Linked DNA regions of Macaca mulatta. The protein of the gene in region 7 interacts with the protein of the main gene of each other region in a biochemical or structural test. Links are inferred from orthologs where the notes say so. Each region holds a gene or a part of one and is shown on either strand. Other genes may lie near its edges. The genes, in order: CUEDC1, LGALS8, BAG2, CDC42EP3, ARFGAP1, NDUFAF7 and LRRK2.

Evidence for each region.
Region 1: the proteins of LRRK2 (region 7) and CUEDC1 form a complex in vitro, tested with the Homo sapiens proteins (2 studies listed by BioGRID and IntAct, with this or other methods). The link is inferred for Macaca mulatta from reciprocal best matches to the Homo sapiens genes LRRK2 and CUEDC1.
Region 2: the proteins of LRRK2 (region 7) and LGALS8 form a complex in vitro, tested with the Homo sapiens proteins (2 studies listed by BioGRID and IntAct, with this or other methods). The link is inferred for Macaca mulatta from reciprocal best matches to the Homo sapiens genes LRRK2 and LGALS8.
Region 3: the proteins of LRRK2 (region 7) and BAG2 form a complex in vitro, tested with the Homo sapiens proteins (2 studies listed by BioGRID and IntAct, with this or other methods). The link is inferred for Macaca mulatta from reciprocal best matches to the Homo sapiens genes LRRK2 and BAG2.
Region 4: the proteins of LRRK2 (region 7) and CDC42EP3 interact on a protein array, tested with the Homo sapiens proteins (2 studies listed by BioGRID and IntAct, with this or other methods). The link is inferred for Macaca mulatta from reciprocal best matches to the Homo sapiens genes LRRK2 and CDC42EP3.
Region 5: of the proteins of LRRK2 (region 7) and ARFGAP1, one has a biochemical effect on the other in vitro, tested with the Homo sapiens proteins (3 studies listed by BioGRID and IntAct, with this or other methods). The link is inferred for Macaca mulatta from reciprocal best matches to the Homo sapiens genes LRRK2 and ARFGAP1.
Region 6: the proteins of LRRK2 (region 7) and NDUFAF7 form a complex in vitro, tested with the Homo sapiens proteins (2 studies listed by BioGRID and IntAct, with this or other methods). The link is inferred for Macaca mulatta from reciprocal best matches to the Homo sapiens genes LRRK2 and NDUFAF7.

What each region holds. Positions count from the first base shown.
Region 1 is NC_133421.1:52,116,458-52,119,984, reverse strand, and holds part of CUEDC1 (CUE domain-containing protein 1), read right to left. Parts: intron 1,913-3,527; coding exon 1,786-1,912; intron 1,051-1,785; coding exon 858-1,050; intron 1-857.
Region 2 is NC_133406.1:12,546,166-12,549,692, reverse strand, and holds part of LGALS8 (galectin-8), read left to right. Parts: coding exon 1-52; intron 53-1,365; coding exon 1,366-1,576; intron 1,577-2,984; coding exon 2,985-3,104; intron 3,105-3,527.
Region 3 is NC_133409.1:125,116,954-125,121,112, forward strand, and holds the start of BAG2 (BAG family molecular chaperone regulator 2), read right to left. Parts: upstream 2,828-4,159; 5' UTR 2,794-2,827; coding exon 2,681-2,793; intron 1-2,680. UniProt on the Homo sapiens protein: Co-chaperone for HSP70 and HSC70 chaperone proteins. Acts as a nucleotide-exchange factor (NEF) promoting the release of ADP from the HSP70 and HSC70 proteins thereby triggering client/substrate protein release.
Region 4 is NC_133418.1:87,264,453-87,268,439, reverse strand, and holds the start of CDC42EP3 (cdc42 effector protein 3), read right to left. Parts: upstream 2,805-3,987; 5' UTR 2,066-2,804; intron 1-2,065.
Region 5 is NC_133415.1:116,130,646-116,134,700, forward strand, and holds the start of ARFGAP1 (ADP-ribosylation factor GTPase-activating protein 1), read left to right. Parts: upstream 1-1,239; 5' UTR 1,240-1,337; exon of another isoform or gene 1,338-2,482; intron 2,483-4,055. UniProt on the Homo sapiens protein: GTPase-activating protein (GAP) for the ADP ribosylation factor 1 (ARF1). Involved in membrane trafficking and /or vesicle transport.
Region 6 is NC_133418.1:87,707,635-87,711,956, reverse strand, and holds the start of NDUFAF7 (protein arginine methyltransferase NDUFAF7, mitochondrial), read left to right. Parts: upstream 1-1,518; 5' UTR 1,519-1,562; coding exon 1,563-1,617; intron 1,618-1,961; coding exon 1,962-2,125; intron 2,126-4,322. Other genes in the region: CEBPZ (CCAAT/enhancer-binding protein zeta), read right to left, coding at 1,263-1,418. UniProt on the Homo sapiens protein: Arginine methyltransferase involved in the assembly or stability of mitochondrial NADH:ubiquinone oxidoreductase complex (complex I).
Region 7 is NC_133416.1:47,100,399-47,104,517, reverse strand, and holds the start of LRRK2 (leucine-rich repeat serine/threonine-protein kinase 2), read right to left. Parts: upstream 2,808-4,119; 5' UTR 1,000-2,807; coding exon 849-999; intron 578-848; coding exon 492-577; intron 1-491. UniProt on the Homo sapiens protein: Serine/threonine-protein kinase which phosphorylates a broad range of proteins involved in multiple processes such as neuronal plasticity, innate immunity, autophagy, and vesicle trafficking.

The DNA.
Region 1 (3,527 bases), on a different chromosome or scaffold from region 7:
CTTGAAAGGCTGAGGCAGGAGAAACACTTGAACCTGGGAGGCGGAGATTGCAGTGAGCCGAGATTGAGCCACTGCATTTCAACCTGGGCGACAAGAGGGAGACTCTGTCTCAAAAAAATAAATAAATAAATAATAAACGGAAAGGCCTTGAGCCTTCCAGCACCTTTGCTGCAGAGCTGGGGCTAACCTTGGGCCTCAGCCCAGCCTTCTCCCTGCACAACTTGCTCCTCCCCCACCAACACACCATCAGTTACACACACAAGCTCTCACGCTGTGGCCATCACAGGGACAGAGCTCCACCGCCCTCTCATTTCCTCTATCCCAAACGCACTCCCACCCTGCAGGGGAAAGGTAGCCAGGCTGGGGAGCAGGGTCTCCAACCCAGAGACAACCCAAATACCTGCAAAGTTCCAGAGCCCCTGCTCTAAGGTCTTCCACTCAAGAGCCTCCCCAACCCTGGCGTTCACGAACCCAGTCATTCTGTTCCCGGAGCTCCAGACACATCACGCCTGCCTTGGGGCTGGGGCTCTGTGAGGAGGGGCAGTGCTCTTCTCCCTGCTGCCTTGTGCCAAGGCCAGTTCCTGGCACAGAGCAGGTGTGCAAAGGGAAGAAGGCCTAAGAGTGCACACCCTTCTTCCTCTGAGTCCCGAGGGAGAAAGGGGTGGGTTAGTGACCCAGGTCCCCATAGGCAGAATTCTGAGGCTCCCATGGGATAACTTGGTGGGAGTCAAGGCTCAGTAGGACAGAAAGCACCTGGCCCCTCAGCCCCCAGCTCAGTGCTTTCCTGAGCCCCAAGGCTAAAGCCAGCATCACCTCCCTTCTTCAGCCAGGGAGAAGTGGCTGCAGGCACTGCCCACCTCTCTCCAGGGCAAGGAGGAAGTCGCGGTTTCGTTGCAGCTCCTTCATGAACTCCTCGTTCTGTAGGAAAAGCGCGATCCTCTCATCCTCCAGGTACTGCTTCCAGCGGCTCTCCTGGTCTCGGGGCCCTGGCCCAGTCATGGCAGGTGGACCTCCGTCTCCGCTCCCAGGCTTGGGGCCCCCAGCATTACCCTGAGGAGGGAGGCGAGCATGTTGAACGTGTACACACAAGGGTACATGTTGCACAAACATCCACATCCCTCTGGTTGCACACACGCCCTGTCCAAGATCCTCTAGCCCTCACCTGAGGCTCACACCTCCTAATGGAACCTAGTGGCAAGCCAAAATCCAACGGACAGGTCAGAGCCCTCATTGCAGGGGACACAGCAGTAGCCTAAAAACTATTTTTCCTCCACGCCACGGACCACCTCATACCTTCATCTACAACCTGAACAGTCCTGAAAAGAAATCTGCAAACTGTGGAACAGCCTATACGTGGATTCCCAAACTCAACCCTCTCCCGGCACCGGCAGCCTCAGGGTGGACCTGCCCCGCTGTGGGGCACCTTGGAGCATGCCAACATCTATCGAGAAGCTGCCTCTGGCCCTTTCCCGAGGGAGGAAGGGGGGTGCTCTGGCCCTCCACCATTGGCCACCCCATGCCCGCCTCTCTCCAGCCTGAGGTGACTGCTGCAGCAGACAGCCTCCTTAGGCTGCCACCTTCCCTGGATAGAACAGGAAACCTCCAGACCCAGGCAGGAAGTGAGGCTTTCAGTTCAGCATTCTTTCCCTACGAACCCAGGGCAACAGAAATAGCTCAGCCTGGGTTTAAACATCAGGAAGTAAAACTGGCTGGCACAAATTGTGTGGGCAAAGAGAGATGCTGGACAGGCAGGTGGGAGTGGAAGGCGGGGGCGGCCCCTGTTACCTGTATGCTGTCCAGCTGCTGGGGGAGGATGCGGAGAAAGTCATCCGGGAGGTTGCCCAGTAGTGGTGGGTTCCAGTTCCGATAGCGTCTCTGGCTTGTAGGGGCTGCAGAGCTCAGCACGTCGATACTAGGGGATGGGAGGTGACAGGGAAGAGGGAGTCATTAAGCCCAACCCCAGGTCTCCTGGCCCCATCACACCAGGTCCTCAGGCAGGTCAGATCCTGCTCAGAGATTCCCATGGCCTCCACTGCCCCCAGAACAAAGGCCCATCACTTTGTGTCATCACTGGAGATGTCTCCACCGGCCTCAGCGAACTCCCCAGCCATTCATGCTGTCCAGTCACATGCCCGCCCAGGTCTCTAGACCTTCAGCGCTGTCTGTCCATGGTGCACATGTGGAACTCTGTGGATTTAGCTATAGATGTTTACAAATGTGCCCTAAAGACAGCAGGGATTGTATCCTTTCATGCTTCTATGCTAGCACCTACACAGTGCCAGGCTCACGGTGCTGAGTGACAGGTATGGTCCAAAGGAACAGACACATAAGCCACCAACAGCACAGCCTGCTGCATGTTGGTTTGCTGAAGAGGGGGCATATGGGGACGCCAGGATCCGTACAGAGGGTAAAGCAGATCCAAGCTCCAGTTCTGGCTCAACCATCAGCCGGCGGGGTAGTCTTAGGTGGGCCCCTGTTCCCCTCTCGGGTTCGGTTTCCTTAGCTAGAAACTGCTGCCTCCCTGCCCAGGTACTGGGGAGCCCCTCAGGAGGCCATGTCCTGAGCAGTGTTCTGAAAAGTGTGTGGAGAGGTGAGTGTGGAAGGGATCTCCCTCTCAGGGTGCTCTGGGACCACTCTTTCCAGGCCTGGTGTGTGTGTGGCAGGAGCTCCGTGCCATGGCAGAGCCAACAGCTGGGCAAGGCAGTAGAGGAAGAGGGGGTGGCACACACACCCTCCCTGACCCCCAGGCTCCCGCCCTACCGCCCTGGGCCTGAGGGCAGCTCGGAGCCCAGCCAGGAGCTCCCCACAGCTCCATGGCAGCCTGCAGCGTGGCAACCGCAGGACACGTGTTCCGCTGAGTCAGGGAAACGGCACACTGAGAAGGCAGCCGAGGGCCGGGCGGTGGGGGCCGCTCTCGCTCTCTCGGGCCTGGCTTTGATTTGGTCTCCAGCTCCAGGAATCCCGCCCGCCCCCTCACTGGAGGGGAGCTTTTCCGGGCTGCAGCTGACTATGGAAATAACTTCCTTTCCTTTTCTATTTTGGGCGGGTGGCCGGCGGCGGGGGCGAGGGGAAGGGGCGGGGGCGGCAGCAGACGGGATAACCAGCTGCTAAGTGCCTGGTGGGAGCTCAGCTCTTGCAGACTGGAGCCAAGGGAACCCCAGCACGCCTCGTCCACCCTCTGGCTGCACAGACACAAGGGGAGAGGGAATGGTCTGGAGAGGAGCTTGCATCACAACCCGGGACTCCCATTCCTAGGCCAAATTTTTTCTACATCACTGCCACCTTCTGCCACTGTTGGAGGCTTCATTTTTCTCCAAAGGCCAGAGATGGGGAGTGAGGAAGCCCCATCTCTCAGGGACTCGCAGACCACCCCAGGCTACAGCAGGGAGGGACCCTCACCAGGGGTATTACCCGTTCTTGGGGTCTCAGGGTCTTCATCTGGGACACGGGTGCCCACCCCCAACTTAACCACACCTCGGAGCCACCCAGGAAAGCAGCGGAGGGAGAACCTCAGAAGGTGCATCTGG
Region 2 (3,527 bases), on a different chromosome or scaffold from region 7:
ATCCTGGAACTTTGATTGTAATACGTGGGCATGTTCCTAGTGATGCAGACAGGTAAAATCATTGTGCTGAAGGAAGGAGCATGAATAAGCTGTGTTTTTGTGATTGTGGAACGATAACAAAGAGTAATGTGGGAGAGACCATTTGATACTTTGAGGCCTAATTTGCTTTCGTCAGCATCCCTGGCCAAGGTGCTGAGGAGCGTGGAATGAATGACTAAATAAAGGTTATTGGGATTTATTTCATTGCTGTAAGTCTGATTTCAGTATAAAAAATTAGAACTATCAGCTGGATGTGGTGACTTACACATGCTTTTCCAGCACTTTGGGAGGCCAAGGCGGGAGGACTGTTAGAGGCCAGGAGTTTGAGACCAGCCTGGGCAACATAGTGAGACCCTCCCATCTGTTAAAAAAAAAAATTTTTTTTTAAAAATTAACTGGGCATAGTGGTGTGCGCCTGTAGTTCCAGCTACTCAGGGGGCTGAGGTAGGAGGATCACTTGATCCCAGGAGTTTGAGGTTGCAGTGAGCTGTGATCAAGCCACTGCACTCCAGACTGGGTGACAAAAAAAAAAAGAAAAAGAAAAAGAAAAAAAGAATTAGGTATGTCATTAAAGAAAGGAATTGTGGTCAGATGACAGGGATAGTCTAGTTGTAGTCTGACATTCCCACAGCATCACAGAAGATCCAGTTCAGATGGTTTTACTGAATACTTGCTTTGGATGCAAGCTGTGGTATCGTTAGTGTTGGGCTTGGCTCTGTGTACCTAACACCTGAAGAGCAGTGGTTTAAGTGAGATGTGAAAATTAAGTCTCAAGGAGACAGCCCAGGCCTTTCAGTCAACTCCTTCAAGTCGTTAGAGAAGGAGACTCCTTCCAGCTCACCACTCTGCTATCTTGAGGGTGAGGTGAGGTCCCTTTTCCCGTTATCCTTGGCAGCTAGATTTCCAGCCCTCACCTCTGTGCTTTGGGTAGCTGGATGGGTGCACATGGTGTTTGCGGGGAAGCAGAGATGAACAAAAGGCAAGTGCTTGCTGACTTTGAAGGCAGTTTCCAGTAGTCTTCCCTGAGCCCTTCACTTCCATCTTATCAGCAGAGCTTTAGCTGCACAGGCAGGCCTAGCTGCAAGGAAGGCTGGGAAAGGTAGGTTTTTATTCTGGGCAGATTCAGACCCATTTCAAACTCGGGGGCTGTGTTACTGAGGAAGACAGAGAAGAAGATTAGGCAGCCAGCTCTTTCGGCCTCATAGTGAATGAACGAGGAGGGATCCGTCAGTCCGGTCACTGGGCCTGGAGTGTAGTGCCTGCTGGGCCGTTCACGGGAGCTTTCCTTTCTGAGCACTCTTGGGGCCCCTGTGTCTTCCCTCATAGATTCCAGGTGGATCTGCAGTATGGCAGCAGCGTGAAACCTCGCGCCGACGTGGCCTTTCATTTCAATCCTCGTTTCAAAAGGGCCGGCTGCATTGTTTGCAATACTTTGATAAAAGAAAAATGGGGACGGGAAGAGATCACCTATGACACGCCTTTCAAAAGAGAGAAGTCTTTTGAGATCGTGATTATGGTGCTGAAGGACAAATTCCAGGTAGGTTTTGGAGAGGACCAGGTTGAGTCCTCATGAGCGAGCGGGACTGCACAGGGGCGCTTTTCACGTTTGTGAGCCCGGCCTTCTATTTCCTACACCTGAGACATGGTTTGTTTGGCTTTGTAGTTTTTCTCCATAAAAGGACCAGGAAGGCACCTAAATGTGAGGTGTGGCACCACTACTCTCCAGCCAGTTGTTGCCGTGCAGAAATATGGTCCATTGTGACCAGATCTTTTTATTAGATCCTGTTTCTCCTAGCAGGGCTGAGTTCTGAATTGACACAGTATTATGTTAATGATGGGAGGGTAAGTTATAATATAACCGCCACCATCCGAAGAGCTAACAAGGGCAATCCTAGCATAGAAATCAGAAGGGTTTTATAAATTCAAGTCTTGCCACAAGATAGTTCTGTAGGATCGAGAGTTTAGATCCAGAGGAGATCCTAGAAATCCTTGATGTCACTTCCATCTCTGGCTTCATGGAGTGTCTTATACCTAGCGTGTATGTGTACGGTTGAATTTGGTCCTAGAGGCTCTTACACCGGCTGGCACTCCGGCCTGTGGAGCTTTCCCAGGGTAGAGGTTTGTACCAGTGTGAGAACAGACCCACATGTCTTTGGCACAGATCCTTTCTGATCTTTAGGATACCGCTCCCGCCCAAAAATCTTTCTGAATCTCCCAAACTCCATTCACCTCTCCCTTCTCTGGCCTTTCCAGCCGTGTCTGTATCATTCTTTTTAACCATTTTTTAACAGTTGTGCTTTGGCTTGATGTGTTTATTTTGCCCCCACAATGGGATTTGAAGCTCCTTGAGTCAGAGACTGTATTGTATGCTGCTTGCGTTTTCTGCCTATAACCTAACCTGGTACCTGGCATTTGAGAGGGAGGGAGGAGGAGCAACGTAGAGTGCTGAGGACCTGCGGAAGCTACTTTCTCGTCATCTTGCTACTGTAGTCTGTTGAGGTAGAGATTGTTCCTACTTCAGAATATGAAAACCGAATCTTAAAAATATGTTGAGTAACTTGTCCATATTAGTTTTATTTAGCAAAGTCAACAGATTTTGATCTTTAACCTGGGTGCACGACCTCCAGGGCACCTGTGCCTGGGCTTCCAGGAGACCTTCGAACCCAGATGTCTCACATGTGTGCAGAGGCTCACAGAGGCACACGCACCTGGATTTGTGACTGCGTGTTTGTCTGGGGAGAGACAGTTCCTGGTGCTTAATCAGATCAGGAACTCGAAGTTCAGAAGCACTGCTAGTGTTTTGGGTGCTTTTGGTTACAGTGTGGTCAGATGTGTGTGGAGACCTGTGGGAAAGGGTATAAAATTGGATGCAAGGAAACATTTGGATAAGAAGTTAATTTATTAACTTCTTTTTTTGGGGGGGGTTGTCTTCTGTATCTTCCTAGGTGGCTGTAAATGGAAAACATACTCTGCTCTATGGCCACAGGATCGGCACAGAGAAAATAGACACTCTGGGCATTTATGGCAAAGTGAATATTCACTCCATTGGTTTTAGATTCAGCTCGGTGAGTGACCTGCCACAGCTTGGGGTCTTTTATGAGGATGGTTTTTGATGAGATGGTAGAAAAAGTCTTCAAATAACACTTCTATTGACATAAAAAGGACGGCTCTCCCTGATTGCAGTATTAATTTTTTGGAAGTGAACTATTCACACTAGCAGAAGGGTTTTTATCAGCCAGCGCTTCATTGTCTGTAGGATCTCAAATCTCGTGTGGTTTTAGCAAAACACACATTGTTTTTAGCTGGGTAGTGGCTATTGCCTTTGCATGGGTGTAAAATGGACTATTTCCATAAGAGAGTTTCCTAGACTGGGAGTGTCTGAGTCAAAGAGCACAGTCATGTGTTGCATAAGGACAGTTCAATGATGAACTGCACATACAACAGTGGTCCCATAAGCTTGTCATACTGTATTTTTACTGTACCTTTTC
Region 3 (4,159 bases), on a different chromosome or scaffold from region 7:
ACCCTCTCTGGAATGAGGGTCTTTTGACCCACAATCAGACTAGAAACAAGGCAGGCGAAAGAAGGTCAGACAGAGATTCTTTTTCCTGAGGCCTAAAGCACCCCAACATTATAACGTAAGACTGTCATAAGGGTTATGGGAGTTATGAGCCAGGAACTGTGGATGAAAACATTATATATATATATATATATATATATATATATATATATATATAAAGTTGTAATATAGTATTTTTTATAAATTACAATAATTGTTAAAAAGTAACAATAAGCAAGATGGTTTGAGCCACTGAGGAATGCAAAACTCAGACTCCATTTAGAATTGATCATAAAAACAGGGAGAAAAGGGAATCACCTCTGTAGAAGGAAGAAATACAGAAGACAAAATGCAGTCTAAAAAAAGAGCCTAGTGTACTGATAAATTCCATCAGAGATAAATGGAAATCCTTTAACAGTTTGTAGAACTGCTGCCAAACATTTTAATCATGTAGATCAGTTCATACTCCAGGTCATGAAGTATGAAATTTCTTCCACAATTGACAGGATGATGTGGTTAGGGAACATTACGTGCACACTTCTAAGTACAAACGGTAAGGTTTTATTCTACCCAGTTACACTACTTTATTAGTTAACATAAAATCAAACTATTAGAGCAAAATTACATATGAGTTTCATGTTTTCATTTAAAAATCGATCTTGTACGCATGATTCTAGTTTTTAATAGTGTAGTGTTCTATGCCATTGCCCATGTGGTTTCAAAAAAACACTTTAATAGGATCAATGTTAGCATTTTTCTCTATTTTTGCTTACCTTAGGAAATCCTTTTCAGCTAGTATTACTTTTTTAAAAAGAAAAAAAAGGCCTACAAAAGTCTAGAATTACTAAAAAAAAGTCCTTGAAATGAACAGCCACATATTAATCACTTTTCTCCTCAGCTCAAATGTTAATTAAGCAAGTTGTAATTTAATCACTGATGTGCAGTAATCAGAATTCATTTTACATTAATCAAACATTAGAATATAATAATATTCAAAACCTGAGGCTTTCTTTTTAAGAGGAGCACTTCAGAGGGCTTTTGTACCTACCACATGTGAGGCATTAATTCAAGTTTGAGGACAATGACTCAGCTTGAAGGAAGGCGGGGTGGAGTAACATCCTCCCCATTCCTTTAGGAAAAAATCTTTTCTTTCTAACTAGGGGAGAGCGAGTGAAGTGGTTGAGAACATGCCCTCAACGTTCTGAAGACATGGAGAGAGGTGTGTTACTTGTTATGCGGCTCCCTAAAAAGAAACATCAGTTAGAGGGACTTCCAGTAACTGAGGCCACCAATTTCTACTTGCGCTTTACTTTTTCTGGGAGTGGAACGGGTCAGGTTTGCTAGTATTGTGAAAATCCATGAGGAAGCATTATTTCTCTCTTCCACTTGCCTCATTCTGAGTGGAACCCCAGAACCTCGTGTAGGGCTTAGGTTTCTCTGCTGCCATCCAAGAAATTATTTTGAGCGGAGAATCTCTCACTCTCTGGCTCTTTTCTCCCAATAGTAACAATAATAATGCCTTACTTGTTAAAAGAGATGCCGTGGTTTTGAAGTATTTTCTCGGCAAACGGACACTTCATATTTGGGTGTATTAATGGAGGGAGATAAAACACACATGCAGTGTTTCCTGAACTTTTTGGCTCACATGCTTCTTTGCTCATGCACAACCTAGAGAAAACTATGGAACCAACTCCTGTGTACAGTTTCAGGGAATTCCAGGTGCCTAACAAGGTTTTCTTTTAACTACAGTTGCTCACAAAATTTACACAGTAACTTGTGACAAACGTTCACAGGAAGTAGATAAAACTTTTCAATATACCGTTAAAGTCTTTCCAAAAATCTATTAACATTATATTGTTTAGAAATTCTGTACAAGTCTACTACTATATTACCTAATAAAATCTTAAGCAAGAAAAAGGGAAAACTATCTTTTCATACTTTCAGGCCAGTGACTAACACTTCGTCTTCTATGTAGGGAGGTGCCCAATAAATACTGAGAGACAAACGGAACCGCGGAATCCCGTCCGCCAGGTCAGGGGATAAAGAGAAGCCGCAACGTCTTTACTGCACGAAGCACCCGGTAACTTACTGCCTACCCCTCACTCCTCTCTAATCTTTGGTCTCAATGGATTGCTGGGTTGGTTTTGTTTTATTCATTTTTGCTCTTTTAGTGTTCTGAAGCAAGGAAACTTAACTTCACGTGGAGGGCCACTGTAAACTGCTGCCTCCCTTAAAAATGTATGACGGGAGAAGAGTAAGTTAAAAACATTTGGGGCCACACAGAAGGTTCTAGAAGCTCTGCAGACCCACGCTGCCACAGTCGTTAATCGCATGGAATCTCACCTCTTAACTTTTATCTCCTCTTTTTCCTGCTCCCCAACACCTAGGTAAGTTAATCAAAGTGTGGCCACCATCACGCCCTCACAGGTTTAGCTTACAATGCGTTTTCTCTTGGACAAGGGGAGAAAATCCAAGAAATAAACAAAACTACACCACGTCCATCCACAACAAATCTCAACAAGCAACTTCTGTTGCCGCAGCCTCACTGTGCCCCAGGGCCCGGCCCGCCACACGCGGCCTCCGTCCGCTAACCGCCCGCGCGGCGAGCAGAACGCCCGAGACCGCCCGCCCGCCCGCGGCTCACCTGAGCTCCAGCTGGTCCAGGCTCTCCAGCAGGCGGCTGGAGCGGTCGGCCATGGAGGAGGAGCGGCAGAAGCGCCCCTCGTTGGCTTTAGCGTTGATCTTCGCCTGAGCCATCTAAGCCTCCGACGCGGGGCAGCCGAGAGGTCACCGGCCCCTCCGGCGGCGGCGAGTGGAGCGCTCCTCGGGCTGCAGGCGTCGCCGTCACCACGCGGGCGCCCGCCCTCCCTCTGACGCCCGCGGGGGCAACCCGGGAGGACTCGCCGACACCGCGGCTGCCGCGTGGCCAAAGAAGGGCAGGCGCGGCGCCCGCGGGGCTCGGGGACGCCGGGCCTGGGAGGGGGCTGCAGCGGCTGGAATTAAGAGGTTCGCGGGCCACAGGGGCTCGGGCCTGGGGAGCGCAAGTCTCTGAGGCACGGGGAGGGGCAGACGCAGAGACTGAGCGCCTAATGTGGCCAGCGGATCGTCTGCTCCTCGGACCCAGGAACTACCCGAAGCCCGCCCGGACCCACAGACCACCCCCAGCTCCGCCCCGCGTGGCCCCGCCTCTTCGTGCAGCCTAAAAGTAACCAACTTCCCCCACACGAAGGTTCCTATCGGTCGATGGGTTGTGGGTGTATTGCTCAGTGATGGCTTCGTTTAGTTTCTTCCAGCACCCATAATTCAAAGCAAGAACAACGACATTAAGGGTCCTGTGATATAGGGAGAAAAGGTCCTTTTGTGAAACAGAAGGCAGTTAAGTGCAGCTCCTAGGCAGCCCACACTCACCTGACCTTCCTGTTACCACTTTATACTAAGATGAGAGTAACGAATGCTCGGACAACGCTGAAGCTATTAAGTAAAAAAGAAAAAGCTACTCCATCTTTCCCTATCTAGGTAGATGTAGGAAACAAAGTGAATTTACTTCATTTTTATCATTCTAAGGATTACAGGTGTGAACCACCACGCCCGACTTAATGAAGGAGTTTTTAATTTTTGCTATTAAAATTATTCCTGTTGAGTGAGCCGAGATCTCGCCACTGCACTCCAGCCTGGGCAACAGAACGAGACCTTGTCTAAATAAATAAATAAATAAATAAATAAATAAATAAATATTCTGAGTGAAATAATTGGCATTAAGAAGTCCTCAACTTTTAATTTTTTTTTTTTTTTTTTTTTTTTTTTTTTTTTTTTTTTTTTTTGAGACCGAGTCTCGCTCTGTGGCCCAGGCTGGAGTGCAGTGGCCGGATCTCAGCTCACTGCAAGCTCCGCCTCCCGGGTTCACGCCATTCTCCTGCCTCAGCCTCACAAGTAGCTGGGACTACAGGCACCCGCCACCACGCCCGGCTAGTTTTTTGTATTTTTTAGTAGAGACGGGGTTTCACCGTGTTAGCCAGGATGGTCTCGATCTCCTGACCTCGTGATCCACCCGTCTCGGCCTCCCAAAGTACTGGGATTACAGGCTTGAGCCACCGCGCCAGGCCAACTTTTAATGTTAACAAAA
Region 4 (3,987 bases), on a different chromosome or scaffold from region 7:
AAAACACCACATTAAAGGAAAGGCTGGAGGGCAGACAGGGCAAATGAACTCACGTGAGCCCTTCTGCAATCATTGTTACGGCTTTGTATTACTCATCTTGCACCACACTTAAATGTACAATAAAAAGCAAAAAGTGTGCAACACGCATTACTCTAGCTGCTTTTACTTGTTCCATAGAGATATGCGAAACAATTTCACTGCTCAGATTGAGGGAAAGAGGAGCTCATCTTATTTCAAGCCTGTAGCTGCTGCCACAGCCTCAGCACCACGTTCTAATCATAGACTTCATCATGTAAATCTCTAGCAGATGATACCACTGGAAAACAGAAACTGCCATGGATCCAGAAATGCTTCCAAATTTCTCCTCTAAAGTTCTTATCTGTGAACTCAGAGGCTGACGCTGTCTTATTCAATGGGTGAGGCCCACTGGGAAACCCACATTATTTGGGAGACTATGAAGAACTTTCCACCATTCCTTGACTATATAAAAGGCCTTTATCACGTATTTCATGATACATGAAAATGCTAAATATTTCACAACTACTCCAACTTATTTCTGAGGGTCTAAATCTATTCTGAAAAGGGTATGCATCACACACCTACCTGTGTAGCTTATTAACTACCAATAAGAACTCACACAAATTGCAGGGGGTATGAAATAATAGACTTCTGGGACTGTCCAGAAAAGAAGAGAAGGTACATTTTTCCCGGTTTTAAGATGAAAGCTCTTGTGTAAGTTAGAACATTACAGGAGTCGTTTAAATTCTCTTAGGTATACCTTTGGGGCATCATCCCTGGTTCCTGGCGAGTCTTTTTTCTCCCTGTGATGTTAAGAGGAAGTCCCTAAGACTGGCTTTGCTATTAAAATACAGACATCTGCTGCTCTCCTAATTTTTGTTCTTTTTAAATGGGAGTACTCCCCAGAAACTCTGGGATATTGTGGGAACTAAGATCTGGGAGATGGGAACGGAATCTTTGTCTCCCTAACACATTCATCAGTTCCCTCCCTAGAGCCCCCCATACCCTCAGCACACACCAGCAGCCCACTCCTCCAAAGACGCCAGGGCTGGAAAGATTCATGTTGCAATACCCTCCTGACATTCCTCATTTTAATTCGCTCACTTTTTTTTTTTTTTTTTTTAAACAAAATGTAATTACTTGACTGTCAGCCTGCGCTGCACTCTGGGGCTTTTACTCCTTTCAACACAGCTGCGCTCCCGGCTTTGATGCTGCTGTCCACGCAGCTTGTCCCAGCCACAGCCTGGCTCTCGGTAATGTAACATTCAAGTGCATATTTATTTTTAAACTGACCTCTCCTAGACTGCACAGTATAAAGGAGATCCTGCCAAAAAATATGCTACTTTCTATTTATAAGATGAAACACATGCCTCCCAAAGTCGGAGGGGGATAGAGTATAATAATTCATAACGAAAAAACGATTGGCCAGATCCACTCGTCCTCACGTCTGATACTTGTCTGTGTCAAGCCACTTGGTTTCAAGGAGAAAGGGAGGAAAACTACAATCAAAAAACCTTGTAAACGTTTCAGCTGTTCACCGTCAAAAAACAAAAAAGTCAATATCCAGATTTCCAGGTTGGCGCCCCACTAACAATGTCCTCCATTAAGAAAGAGGAGGGCACCGGGCAGGCGATGCCACGGCAGAGCTGTGCGATGCACCCATGTGCGGCCCTGGTACCAATTCACGACGCGAGGGGCGCGGTAGCCAAGTGCGGCTTGTTCTCAGATGGAAAAATGCTATACGCGCCCAGAATGGCTCTGTCAATAGCTCGGAGGGAGCAATGGGGCCGCGCTGCCCCACCCTGAAAAGCGGTGGGCACAAATGGTGGAGCTCTGAGTCCCGGTCATGCCGCCCGCCCCACTCCTGGCTTGCTTTATGTCCCCTTCGGTCCGTTGGACACTAGATGTGAAAGCGATGCCCTCGGTATCCCGGCTCCCTGCTGGTTTCCCAGCCTAACACCAGCGCACGCCGGAAGCGGCCACGGCGCGGGCGGGACAGACTCACAGACAGGTAGAGAGGAAGGAACCCTGGATTACCCAGACTCACCGGCCGCCGCTGAGAATCCCAGCCGCTGCCCCGGGCCTCCCGCGGGCGCACGCAGCCCCGGCCGGTGTGCGCAGATCCAGCCGAGTCTGCCGGCGCGGTGCCTGCTCACCGCATTATCCGCTCCGAGACAGCGTGAAGGCGCCCCAGGCCGGTGGCCGGGTCTCCGGGCTAACCCCGCACTGCGGACCCTCGGCCGCAAGAGAAGGTGCGCGCAACTGAGAGCTGGGCGGCAGGACGCGAGGACTGAACCTGCGGAGGGCGGGGCGGCGCGGGGCGGGGCCGGCGGCGCGGGGACGGACTGGGGCGGGGCGGAGGGCACGGGCCCCGGGGCCGACCCTCCCGGCCGCTGTACCTGTGCCCTGGCCCGGGGCCAACCGGCAGCCGGGCGCGCGCGCAGGGGGGTTCACCGTTGGACCCTCGGAGGACAACGGGCGCCCATTGTTACCTCTCCAGCGCTACCCCCCAGTAGGCGACTTCCCTCGGAGAAGACGCCGCTTTCGACTCCCTAAGCACAAAGAAAGGTCGTCGGACGCTCGTTTTAAAGAGGGACCCGGAGGTGCTGCCGCCCGGGTGCACGGGGACAATAGGACTCCGCCCGCACCCCGGACTCCCGCACTAAACCTCGTGCGCCCACCTCTCCCGATCCCAACAGGCCGACCTAGCCGTGCGAAGTTCCGGTGTGGCGGGCGGTGACCGGCAGGGAAGCGAGGCCACCTGAGCGCGCCTCCCCGTTCAGGCCGCAGCTCCCCAGGTCCCTCGCAGCCAGTGCTCTGGTGGGCGCGGAGGGGGAGGGTCGCGTTCTGTCAGTTTCCAGCTCGCTCCCCTTGGAGCTGCAGCCAAAACCCGGAGCGTGGACTTCGCGCCCTGGAGATGCCGGAGCTCCGGGCTGAGCAACTGGACAAGCGACGAACAGCAGACGCTACAGGTTCTCCTGTCCAGAGGGAGGCGTTTCCTCTCCCTCAGGGTCTTTCAAAAGGATTTGCCTAAAGCTGAAGCAAGCTGGTGGCGGCTGCCCCAGACGCGCGACGAGGCGCAAGTGGCGCAGCTGCCGGCCCGGGACCGTAAAATTCCTCCCGTGGTGGCACCTGCGCCCGCCGGTCAGCGGGCCACAGCCAGCGCCGCCGACTGGCGCACCCCTCCCCTCCGCCGGGGCACTAGCGTGAACCGGGTTAATGAATGCTAATTTTCTTAATCGGCCTCCGTCTTTTCCTCCTCCGCGAGTCATCGGCCTGGGGAAGGAGTAGGCGACAGGAAAGGGCGGTTTTTTCCGGCTGGGAGGTCCCAGCCCGCATGATTAGCCTGGGGAGGGGGCTGGGACCCCGGGGAGTCGGATGCTCGGGGCCTGGTCTCTGCCCTGAGACTCTCAGGTTGGATGGAAATCCCGGCACAACGCGGAGAACTTTCCGGGCACCTTGGCTTTGCCGAGAGGTCCCTAGCTTCAGTCATCACCGCGGTCCTCTAGGTCTGTCTGAAACCCTAGAGGGTGCACCTTAAGCCGATGTTGTAAACCCAGGCTGACTTTAAGGTGAAGTGAAAAGGAAACGGACACAATCTGGAAAGCAAAATACTTGGGTGGGGTGTTAAAAGCTTCAAAGAAAAATAATAGTTGGCAGGTCAAATGGCCATGAGGTTGGAAGTCAAATAAGAAACTCGGCTGAAGTGATGTTAGAAGTTTGACAAGCAAAACAGTCCATGAAGATAAGAGACCCAGCATTGTTTCCCTTCTTCAAAAGACAACTCGTCCAAAGTTTCCTTTGGCAGATACCTGGATTCTACTCCAGATTCCTGAGCATTTTACTTGGGTTTCATATTTCAAATTATATGTTCCATTTGGCACTAATGTATATATTTTATATATTAATTTATTGAAAAATATTAAATGTTGCTGGCCTACTTAGAAAAAGGTATTTTTATAAATATTT
Region 5 (4,055 bases), on a different chromosome or scaffold from region 7:
TATGCCTACACAAAGACCTTTCAAGATAGCTTTACTCATACTAGCCAAAACTGACACGACCCCAGTGTCCAAAGTGTGAATAAATGAAGGAAGTGGCGTGTTTCCCATGGCACACTGCTCGGCAATAAAAAGGAACCAGTTACGGGTACGTGCAATGTGGCTGAATCTCTGAGACATCACGTTAAAGGAAAGCCATCACGAAGGTATATTTTGCACAGCTCTATTTGTGTGATATTCCAGAAGAGACAAAACTAAGATATGGCGATATTGGAATCAGAAGAGTGGCTGCCTCTGATGGAAATGTTCTATAATTGACTATGGTAGACATTACGTGGGGGTATGCATTTGTCAAAACTCATTGAACTGCACGTTTTGCAGTGTGTAGCTTATACCTCAATAAAAATGTTTATTCTCCATCATTTCGAAAGTCAACCAGATCAATGAGGAACACATAGAATGCACAGAAAAAAACAAAGTAAAAACAAAACAAAAAATTACGTGCAACTAACCTCCCACAGGTGATCACTTTTTCAGCTGTGTACCTTCCTAGTGCAGACCATTGCACACCTGCACCCTGGGGCATCTGCGTGGCAGGGGTGGGGGCCTGCGGACCCTCTTAACCCCGCCGCCTCCCACCAGGGCCCAAAGGCTCGGGTGGTGGAAGAGAGACTCAGACCCCAGGGCGGGAGCACGGGCCCCAGGACGCAACCCTCCATCCCCGCGCCGGTCCCCCGCTGCCCACTGCCCGTGACCCTCGCCTCCCTGCCTGTCACCCGCTGCCCCGGTCCTCCTACCCGAGTCCCCCTGCCGGTCCCCAGCTGTCCTGGCCCCTCTGCCCCCGCCCCGTAGACCTCGCCCCTCTGCCCGTCCTCCATGGCCCCCGGTCCTCCTACCCCCGTCCCCTTGCCGGGCGGTTCCAGCCCCGCAGCTCCCCCCCAGGCCCCCACTCGCCCCGCCCCCGTTGTCGGCCCCCGGTGAACGCGCCGTCCCAGAAGCACCTCAGTTTGGTTCCACGGATGCACGGACGCTTCTCCCGCCCGGCCCCCAAATGCTGCTGTCCTCCGCGGCCACCGCGATCAGGGGCGGTCCGGGACCTGGGGTGGGAGTTGGACGTTGCGGCTACGCGTCTCCATGGCGACCGGGCGAGTGCGCGCCTGGGGGGCTGGGGCCTGAGGCGGAAGTCCCGCCCCTGCCGGCTCCCATGAGACCTTGCAAAGCGCAACGTAGCCGGAAGCTGGTGGCGGCTGGTGGGCGACCGGGCGCATCCCCGTTGCAGTGCGGCGGTCCGAACCCGGCCCTGGCCTGACCCCGGCGGCCCTGCCCGCCTCTGCCGACAGGTAAGCGCGCGGCTCGGCGGCCCGGGCTCGGCCTGAGGCCTCGGCTGCCGCGGCGTCGTCCCCGGCCTTCGCGGGCGGACTCCCCGCCGCAGCCTCCCCCGCCCGGACCCCGCTCCACCCCGAGGCTGATGCCCCAGAGCTTGGGGGCGCCCACCCCGACCTCCCCCAGTCCCCTCGGCGCTGGACGGCGGGGCCCTTCTCGCGCGGACGCCCTGCTGCAGCCGCCCCTCCGCCGTGCCGCCCCCCGCCCCTCGTGCCCCTTCCCTCCGAAGCTGCTCTCCACCCGCACCCCGGATCTGGAATTTCCCACCGGTTACGGGAGTCCGGAGGGTCCTGCCCACCCACGTCGCCTCCCGGGGCGCGAGCAGGACCCTGCCCCGTCTCCTTCAACACCCTCTTCCCGAGCTCCTTCGGACACAGGACTCGGCCTGGACACATCCCAGTCAGGTGGCCTCTGAAGCCCGGTGGAGCTTCCCCCTGCTAAGAAGTGAGGGTCCTGCCCAGCAGGTGTTGGTGAGCCCAGTCTCATCAGAAATGGCAGCCTCAGCTCGCTTGGTTTTCCTCCTTACCCTTTGACGTGGATGACTGTCTTGAGGGAGAAAAAGAAACCAGGAAGGGGCTTTTAAAACTTCTCAGTTTATGTGTGTTTAGAAGAACTGTGCTTCTTGCCTGTTCTTTTAAACAGTTTTAATTACAGCCCACCAATTCTGAGAAGTAATTCTGCTCATTTTTTGCAGGTCTAATATTCCTGCCATGCTCTGCTGATTATAGCACCAAAGTTCGGCTGTAAAGTGGCCCAGGGAATTGAAGCCCTTAGCTTTGTTTTGGCGTCCCTTTCTGGGACCATGTCCTTGTCAAAGTTCAGAAGTAATCCGTGCTTTAGCGAAAGGGCTCTTCTTCTTAGACATGGGTAGTTGAGGCGCTTCAGACAGTTTCTGGGAACGACTGCTAGTATTTCTGCCGGTCGCTGTGTTACAGCCCTAGGGTCTAAACAGTGTTCTTAAATATCCCTTTTGATCTCACATACTGAGAATGTTCCAACTTATGGATCCTGAGTTTTGAAGTCTCCGGAGCTTACCGAACTAACACAGAGTGTCCTCACTGGGTTTGACGTTTGCTGAAGTCACATCCACTTGCAGAAGGAGGTATATTTTTGCATCTTGGTTTCAAGTGTTAAGAGTTTTGGATTATTTTTCTTTTTTTTTTTTTTTTTTTTTTTTTGGAGACGGAGTCTCGCTCTGCCGCCCAGGCTGGAGTGCAGTGGCCGGATCTCAGCTCACTGCAAGCTCCGCCTCCCGGGTTTACGCCATTCTCCTGCCTCAGCCTCCCCAGTAGCTGGGACTACAGGCGCCCGCCACCTCGCCCGGCTAGTTTTTTTTTTGTATTTTTTAGTAGAGACGGGGTTTCACCATGTTAGCCAGGATGGTCTCGATCTCCCGACCTCGTGATCCGCCCGTCTCGGCCTCCCAAAGTGCTGGGATTACAGGCTTGAGCCACCGCGCCTGGCCAGGATTATTTTTCAAGATAAACTATATTTGTGCTTTGAAGGTTAGGAGGTATTTGCTTTCGTGTTATTAACTTTAACATTTCAGGGAACTAGGGCTCTTGAATATCCACAATGAGTCACCTAGAGGAGTTCCTTTTAAATCCAAGCTGAGTCCTTTCCTTTTTGCACGTTTTCTTCCTCCGGTGGTTCTGCGAGTATCCTGTATGTTTTACAGTTAGAAATTCAAGCCATCTCCTCATGGTTCTGACTTTTGTTTGCTTGTGTCTGTTGACCAAGACATAAGCTCCTGAGGGCAGGCATGGTGCTGTGGAAAGAGTGCAGGACTGAGTGTGGAGACCTGGATTGGTCTCGTCCTGCTTTGGCGGCTCACCGCCTCTCCGTGGGCCGTGGCTTCTGCGTGTGCAGTAGTTCTGCCAGGGCCGTCGGCGGCTGCTGTACAAGAATGTGTCCCGAGGACCCTGTAAGCTCAGCCTCGCTCCCCGCCTGCCAGGGCATCTCTCCACACAGGTTCTCCCTCTTCCGTCCTCAGTCGGCTGTACTGGTGGATGCTCAGTTTGATGACGGTATCCGCCTGAATGAGTCATGCTGGGGTCCGAGTCTTGCGATCAGGAGTGAGCATTCACTGCCTCATGATCTGTGGTTCCCGGACACTCTCACACAAGGCACAGAGAATTATGGAGCAGAAGGGAGCCCAGGGTGAACTTTGGTTTTGTTTTTATGAACTGCAGAAAACAGGTGTTTATTTCCTGACTTTGAATGGGTTTAAAGTGGGCACTGGTCAATATTAGGAGTCATGGGCTTCAGAATTCAGAAACTTTGGCTGTGTGGAGTTGGGACTCCCCCAGTGAATACCTTGTTTCTGGATACTTAAGATTAGAAATGAAATATAGGACAGAGGGTTTTTTTTTTTAATTTTTAATTTTTTTAAAGCTTCACCTCAACGTAAAGTTCCACCTACAACGTTAGTGGGAAAGCTGGTCGACACGGTCTCCTCCTAAACACAGTGAAGGAGGGGAGGGCTGGTGCTGGGAAGGTCCCATGGCTTACAGAGTTCTGCGTGTTCTCCGTGTAGTGAGAGGTAGAGGGAACAGCACACGGCTGCATTCGTATTGAGAGGTGGGTGAGCCTCAGAAAAACAGTGCACTGAGGCGTGGGCTGGTGGGGATCCAGGTCTGCTGCCTCCAGGCTGGACTGTCTTCTACAGTTTGCTC
Region 6 (4,322 bases), on a different chromosome or scaffold from region 7:
ATTAAGACAGACAAAATGATTTATGCAGCCATATCAATAACACAGAACTTCATGCACTGATATAGAAGGATTTCTAAGAGAGAAAAGAGAGCAAAATATAGATAGGTGTATATATATGGTACTATTCATGTAAAAAATAATAGACGCGTATTTCATACCCATAAATATGTATATGCTTGAAAAGGTATACAGTATCCCTGAAAGATATAAACTACACTTGTAAAAATAATTGCTTCCTATCAGGGCAATTGTTACGGCTGAGATAAAAGTGGAAAAAATTGGACTTTTCACTACGTATCTTTAAAGTTTGTATCACGTGTATCATGTGTATATATTACTTATTCAAAACTTAAATATACACAAGCACAGAGCAAAACTGTGAATCTACTTATCTCTAACCAACTCCTCCACCCTGAAAGTCCAGTCTCCAAACAAAATAATATTAAAAACAAAGTTAATTTCTGTCCCTTATCTGCTTAAAATCTTCCAGTGGTTTTGCATCAAACTCAGAGCAAAAGCCTGCCCTCTTACCCCTTGGACCTCATTTCTTACCATTCTCCCCTTACCTCACTCTGCCTCTGCTACATTGGCATTTTGGCTGCTCATGGAATAGGTCAGGCACTCTTCTGCCTGTCTTTGCATTTTCTGTTCCAACCAGAATGGCACATGGCTCACTCCTTCCTCTCCTTTAGGATTCTGCTCAAACATCTCCGTGATGTGTTTGTCGATCATCTCATTTAATACTAACGCGCTCCCACTCCTTATCGTCCTTTCGCACTACCCCGTGTCTGCTGTACTATGTATTTAAAAGTTTGTTTACTGTTTCTGTCCCTTAATTAGGATGTTCCAAAAAAGAGGGCTTCTGGGGCATACAGTGACACGTGCACGTACTCCACGAGAACAGAAATGAAAATTCCAATACCACTGGTGTTCAAAATACTCATACCACAAGGTCGGGACCAAGAAAAGCTACTCTCCGACCTGATGGTGTGATGGTTATACCACGTTAATAAAATGAGAGGATCGCCTACATCCTAAGAAAGGCCAGAGAATACGACGTTCAACTGGAAACTTTTCTTTTGTAAACAGCCCTGGAAACCAGCGTGGGAAGCTCACAGAACACATGCTTCCGAGGCTGGGATCTGGGATCTGGGTCCTGGACGCCCGCGCTCTACGCAGCGCGGAAGCGGCGGGGCAGTCAGCCTAGCGACATTAGGGACTGCCCACGTCTGACCCCTTTCCCCGGAGCCCGCGGCAGTTACCTTGGTGCCTCCGAGCCGTAACACTTCCTCCAGGGAGAACCCATTCTCGGTTTCATTAGCATCATCCTCGTCGTCCTCGTCCGGATCTTCTACTGCCTCCTCGGGGCGCCAAGGCCGCTTGGCGTGGAACTCCAAAGGCTCCTTGGCTGCCGCCATGGCTAGCAGAGCATACGCTCTTGGAACTCAGCCTATTTCCGCTCTGCCCGTGACGTAATTCCGGCCGGGGGGTTGGGGCGTCTTCTCCCGGAAATAGCCTAAGCCTCAGCTCCTGGCGGAGAGAGCCGGCCTGCGAATTTCAGCATGACTGTTCTGGTGAGGTCAGGTGTGGGGCCGCTGTGTGCCGTGGCGCGTGCAGGTAAGCGTCAGTCCCCTCGAAGCCCTGTTGCCTTGGAAACCGCGTGGGGTGCCTTCCTCAGCTCTTCAGTTGAGGTACCGGGGAATTAAGGGCTCAGGGGCTCACTTCCACCTTGAAGGTGCCCTGGGCTGGAAACGGGTCCGGCGCAAACGCGATAGGGCTGCGTAGTCGTGGGCAAGTGCGTGCTGTCTCTGCGCCCCGGGGGCGTGCAAAGCACAGTAGCCCGAGGTCTGCGGTAGGGTGAGGTTAAGGGTTTACGAAGCTGCTTTGAAAACGCTCAGGCGGCTTGCGTTCGTGAATGTTAAGATTTATCACGGGGTTTGTTTGATTTGTGTTTTTCACAGCCATTCCTTCTATTTGGAGAGGGAAATACTTCAGCTCCGGGAATGAACCTGCAGAAAACAACCCGGTGACGCCGATGCTGCGGCATCTTATGTACAAAATAAAGTCTACTGGTCCCATCACTGTGGCCGAGTACATGAAGGAGGTGTTGACTAATCCAGCCAAGGTATGGTCGGGTAGCCCGAGGACTAGGCCCTCTCTAGCCGATTTGCGAGGTGCGAGCCAGGAGGGAGAAGCCCGAAGGTCCTCAGCCCAGGCAGTGGGGGTGCCTGCCAGGGGAAGAGCCATTTCTGAGGACCTGGGGACAGATAATCTGTCAGTTGGGCAGGGCTGGCTCACATCAGAGGCAGGGCCAATAAACAGGAGAGGACACGGTCCAAGGGTGTTTAGGAGACAGAATGTAGCTGATTGGATTTATGATGCGGGAAGGATGACTTTCCTACTTGGCTGATGGTAGGTGGTGTGGATTATTGCTCTGGGAGAAGGAATGTAGGAGGAAGGATGGAGAGTTCAGGCTGGTATATGAATCTGAAGTGTTGTAGGACTCTAAGGTGGAAATCTCCAACAGGCATCTGGAAATAGGAATTACTGCCTGAAAAGTTGCCTTGTTGGAGTGGCCTCAGCTGGCACTGGAGAGATGTGCTGGGTTTTCTCACATGTGCAGTTGAGAATGCAGTCTGGGTCTGCACTGTTCTAAGATTAGGCACAGTCACAGCTTTCTGACCCACGTTTCCTTGTCTGTTCTATAGAGCCATTTGGTGAAAGCCTGTAGTCCTTTATTTTAGAATATTTCACCTTTTGCTGGGTTGAAATATGACCTCTGTGGAATTCTGGGGTTGATTTGGCCATTGCTGTTGGATATGGTGGCGTGACTCCAGTGTCGAGGTTTACCCAAGGCCGGTATCTTTCTTTCAATGCTGGTGGGCAAGGCTGCAAGATAGGTGGCTTAGACTAGTGTGGTGGTACTAGAAATAGAAGAGGGTGGTTTAGAAAAGGACTGACAGGATTTGCCGATGGATTGAGTGATGCAACGGAGGAATCAAGGCTGATTCGTAGTTTTGGCTTGAGCAGTTAGGTGGTGACGGCACCTTTTATTGAGATTAAGACAGACAGGACCGGGTTTGGAGGAGTGCTGGGGAGAGGGCCTACACCAGGAGCTGCATTTTATACATATTTTGTTAGCAATGACATCCAGGTGGAGATAGAAAGTAGGCAATTGGCTGTAAGAGTCTGGCGTTCAGGGCCGGACATGGTGGCTCACGCCTGTAATCCCAGCACTTTGGGAGGCCAAGGCGGGTGGATCACGAGGTCAGGAGTTTGAGACCAGCCTGACCAACATGGTGAAACCCCCTCTCTACTAAAAATACAAAAATTATTGGGTGTGGTGGCGGGTGCCTGTAATCCCCGCTAGTCAGGAGGCAGGGGAATCACTTGAACCCAGGAGCAGAGGTTGCCGTGAGCCGACATCACGCCATTGCACTCCAGCCTGGGCAACAGAGTGAGACTCTGTCTCAAAAAAAGAAGAAAACAAAAAAAGAGCCTGGAGTTCAGAAGAAAGACTGGGCAGGCATATATACATTTGCTCATCATCAGCATGTAGGTGATATTGAAAGCCAAGGAACCAAGGAGAATGTACTGAGAGAAAGGAAGGTTTCCCAGCATTGAGACTTGGGGTAACTCTAAAATTTAGAGGCTCTTAACCTAGGAACCCTTTAATAGAAATCAGGGGTTTCATGAACCTGGATGGAAAAAAATTACACCTTTATTTTCACTAACTTTCAACTGAAATTTAGCATTTCTTCAATTATGAACATACGCAGCAACCAGTAGCATCAGCAATACTTGTGAATTTGTCGTCTGTGGAAATCATTGGTATTTCCTTATCACAATACAGTGATCACAGGCATCTCAGAATTTCATCATGCTCATCCTTACTTCAAAATTTTGTTAATTATTGGGTCTTTCGCTTGATTATGGGCTTTTTTGTTTGTTTGCTTTTTGAGATAGAGTCTCATTCTGTCACCCAGGCTGGAGTGCAGTAGTGCGATCTCGGCTCACTGCAGCCTCTGCCTACCAGTTTCAAAGGATTCTTGTGCCTCAGCCTCCCGAGTAGCTGGGATTACAGGTGTATGCTTCCATGCCCAGCTAGGTTTTTTGTATTTTCAGTGGAGATGGGGTTTTGCCTTGTCGGCCAGGCTGGTCTTGAACTCCTGGCCTCATGTGATCCGCCTGTCTCGGCCTCCCAAAATGCTGGAATTACAGGTGTGAGCCACTGTGCCCGGCCTGATTATGTTTTTTTAAATACGCTAGTAAAGAAGTGTATATATCACATTTTTAAAAACATTTGATACACATTTTTCAGA
Region 7 (4,119 bases):
AAACTAAAGGCTAGAAATCTGTCTTTGAATTTTAAGAAATGCTGAACTCTACAAGAGTTTGCCAGTGACAAAGTGGCATTTTATCACTATTAGTTATTCCCCTTTTCCAAACTACTCATAATCCTCTCATCTAGGACATGTTCTACATTGGGAAGATTCCTGGAATAGTCAGGTCTAAACAGTAATTAATTCATCTTGCCAATAACGGGACTAAACCCGAACCCATTTTTATCCCCCTTCTACCACCACCCATACTGTTGGTTTTATAAAGTTACTACTTAAAGACACTCAGGGAACACATACTGGGGCCCTTCATCCCTTTTTACATGATCAAAATATTTAACAATGTCCCCATCTGAAAATCACAGTCGGAGGTTCCTCAAGCCAAATTTCCAGAATAACCAAGAACTCCCGGCTATATAACACTGCCAGTAAAACGTCTCCTTCCAAACAGAAGGGCGAATGAGTTGAAGTGAAAACAATGCCTTTACCTGCTGCACACTCGCGACTCTCATATACGAGTCCAAGACGATCAACAGAGGCACATGGATATTTTTGCCTTGAAATAACTTGGAGGCTGGAAAACAAGTGGGTGGGGAAAAGAAGCAAAGTCACAATCCACAGCACCCCCTTTCCTTTTAAGTCTGAAAAGGGGAGAAAAGTCAAAAAGGTGAAGACCTTCCTGGAATTCTCAGCTCCTTTCCGCCCTAAGGAAAGGAGATGGGAGTTTACGGCTCTTTAAGAGTCCGGGTTTGAGCAGCGTCAGCGGAGGAGGACAAAGTTTGCAAATGTGAGGAGGGGGCGAAAGTTTGCAAAAACAAAAGCACAGTTTCTTCGCAAGTGATTACCGTGCTCGGAGTACGTGAACACCAGCAGATCCTCCAGGATTTGGACCAGCGTTTCTATCTGTTTACCTTCCTGGACATTGTTCAGCCTGACTATCAACTTCTTCAGAGTTTCCTCGTCCTCCTCGCACCCCTGACAGCTGCCACTAGCCATGGTGGCCCCTGCTTCCAACCCGCCGCCCTCCCAGCACGAACGTCCGCTGCTCAGGGAACCGGCAGGGGCGCCGGCCACAGCTCCCCGGGATCTAGCTCAGCTCACCGCCCTCAGCCAGGGCTCCCCGGGGGCCCCGTCGGCGCCCACGCCCGCCTGTTTATGAGGAAGGCGGTGGCTCCCCGCCCCGCGTTGCCCTCCCTCTCCAGAGCCCTCCTGCTCGGCTTCCTCCTCCCCCAGCCAGGCCCCAAAAAACCAGCTCAGGGGCCTGCCAGAGGCTCCGCCGGGGCGACGGGCCGCGCAGAACTTCGGCGGCGGCCGTGGGGCTGCTGGAGCCGGGCCTGGCCGGGATGACCGTGCCCGTGGCCCCCACGCACGCCTAGACTGGACCCGGGCGGACGCCGCCTCCTGGGACCAGATTCCACCACAGCGGCGGCGCGGCGGGGAGTCGCGCAGGAAGAAACTGACTCAGCGGACTCCGCCGAGTCCCAAGGCCCGGAGCCCCGCAGCGGAGGCGCGCAGTGCGCAGCCCGGCCGGCCACCCTCCTCGACCCGCCAGCCGGGGATCCTGCGGCCCCAGGGAAGGTCTGGGAACTGGCAGCAGGAAAAATGAAAGCCGCCTATCTCCAGATCTAAGAATAGAAATCAGGGCGCTGGGAAAAAGAGGACACCGCCCAGATGGCCCCTTTAGGAAAACATTCTCTTTATAGAGTTCTCCCCTTAAAGGATGGAGAGAGAGGTTAGCCATCAAAACTTGCCCCGCTACTGTCTTTTTTATTATTGTTGTGACTGTTAGTGGGAGAGGAAATAAACATTGTTTCCCTGTGAGTTATCTGAAGCTCTGGTCACCAAAAGGCCACTAAATTAACTTTTGGAATTGAGTTGCACTAGGCAGGATCCTGATACGTGGGACACCGGAAAAGTAATCAGCTCTCAGAGCTATTAGAACTGAGACAAAGGACAGGGTACATGAAATGAAAGGTGAAAAGGTGAGAGAAGCAAACCGAAATACTCTTCTCTTGGCATTCAGAATTACTTATGAGTATGGGTGTCTATAACCCCAAAGTTTTTTGGTTTCGTTTTTTGATTGTTTGTTCTGTTAAGTACCTAAGTAATGTGTTTTTAGGAAGAGAAACCTAGCAAGAACATTGTAAACAAGGCTAGGCAAAGATGATCTATCCTTCAGTTGATGTGTCTGTCCTCAAGGTTATTTAAAAAGAAGAGGATTGGACTGGAAGTTACTACTTCACAATTTTAGATTTGTTTTCACATCTGTTACTTCAATCCTGATGACAAGTCTGAAATGGATAAAACTACTACTATGTATCCTTCTTTCACTAATGAGGAAATTGAGATTTGGAGTAGAGAAGTGAAGAGCTTTGCTGGAGTCACACAGGTGGGAAGTTGAGAGCCAGGACTTCAACTCAGGCAAATCTCCTAACACCCGGTAGATGGTTCTTCATGCTCTACCACTTTAATAAAAATGCTCTAGACTTTGTTTTTTCATCAGATTAGTAAGATAGCAAATTCCTACTTAACCTGGATATTAGGTCTATGTCTTGTTGTTGTAGAGTCTTCAGTTTTTACAGAGACATGCTGAAATATTTACAGTTGAAATGGTAGCAGGGTTAGGATGTGTTTCAAAGTCATCCAGTGGTGGAGGAAAAGATGAAATGTGTGGAGGCAGAGATAACAATAACAATTTTTGAACTGGTAATTGTTGAAGATAATAAGAGATGGGTTCATGTGGTCTGTTCTACTATTCTGTCTGTATAACATTTTCCATAATTTAAAAAAAAAAATCCTAATCTTAACAATATTTATCAGACCTACAGTGTATTCTTTTCTAAGTTGTTTCTAAACTTGTTTCCATTTCTGATGACTTAATCAATGTCTCAAATATTTCTAGGCATTCTCGATCTCATGCATTCCTTCTGTTCCTCTGCATTAGTTTCTCCCTTCCTATTCTACTGAATTACAACCTTGCAAGAAATTAAAACCTACCTCCCTTCCAAAGCAAAATAAATCTAAATTAAAAGATGTCTCCGGCCGGGCGCGGTGACTCAAGCCTGTAATCCCAGCACTTTGGGAGGCCGAGACGGGCGGATCACCAGGTCAGGAGATCCAGACCATCCTGGCTAACACGGTGAAACCCCGTCTCTACTAAAAAATACAAAAAACTAGCCGGGCGCGGTGGCGGGCGCCTGTAGTCCTAACTACTCGGGAGGCTGAGGCAGGAGAATGGCGTGAACCCGGGAGGCGGAGCTTGCAGTGAGCTGAGATCCGGCCACTGCACTCCAGCCTGGGCGGCAGAGCGAGACTCCGTCTCAAAAAAAAAAAAAAAAAAAAAAAGATGTCTCCAATTTCCACAATTCATTCATCCATCTATTGCCTATTTATTATCTACTCTATATTGGCCAGACTGTGAGTAGGCAGTATGAAAATATGAATTATCTGTTGGGAGCATTCTCCCATGAACTACTGCAGTGTTAAGGTAAAGTATTCTCTTAGGTTTCAAAAATGTTTAATTGACTGACTAAAATTCCAAGATTTATCAACTCTTCAGGTAGTTAACAAGACTGAAAATGAAGATTACAGGCACAAATTTATGATGGAAGCAGTGCTCAGTGGAGAATAAAATGGTGCTAGAACATTTGGCTAACTTCCTGAAAAGAAAAAAATAATACTGGCATTTCTAATTACAGCAAACATCAAAACAAACTCCAGATAGATTAAAAAGTTAAATAAAAATAACTTCAAAAATAAAATATAAATTAATAGTTATATAATCTTGAATAAGAAAACATAAAAACAAGAAAGAAATCACATAAGGTTGGTGTATGTGACTCCATCAAATTTAAATTCTCTGCAGTCAAAGAAAAAATACCCATTAATGAAACTAGAAGTCAAATGGCAAACTGGAAGAAAAAAGTTGTAATACATATGATGAAACACAATTTGCCTTTAACTTTCAAAAGTTCTTACAAATCACTGGGAGGAGGGCATTATGCCACAGATAGACCAGGAAAAAAATAGTAATAAACTAAGGTTTTGAAAAGGAAATTCACTTTGAATGACCACTGAGTATTTTTTAATGTCATCATTAAAAAAAAAATTGTGTTC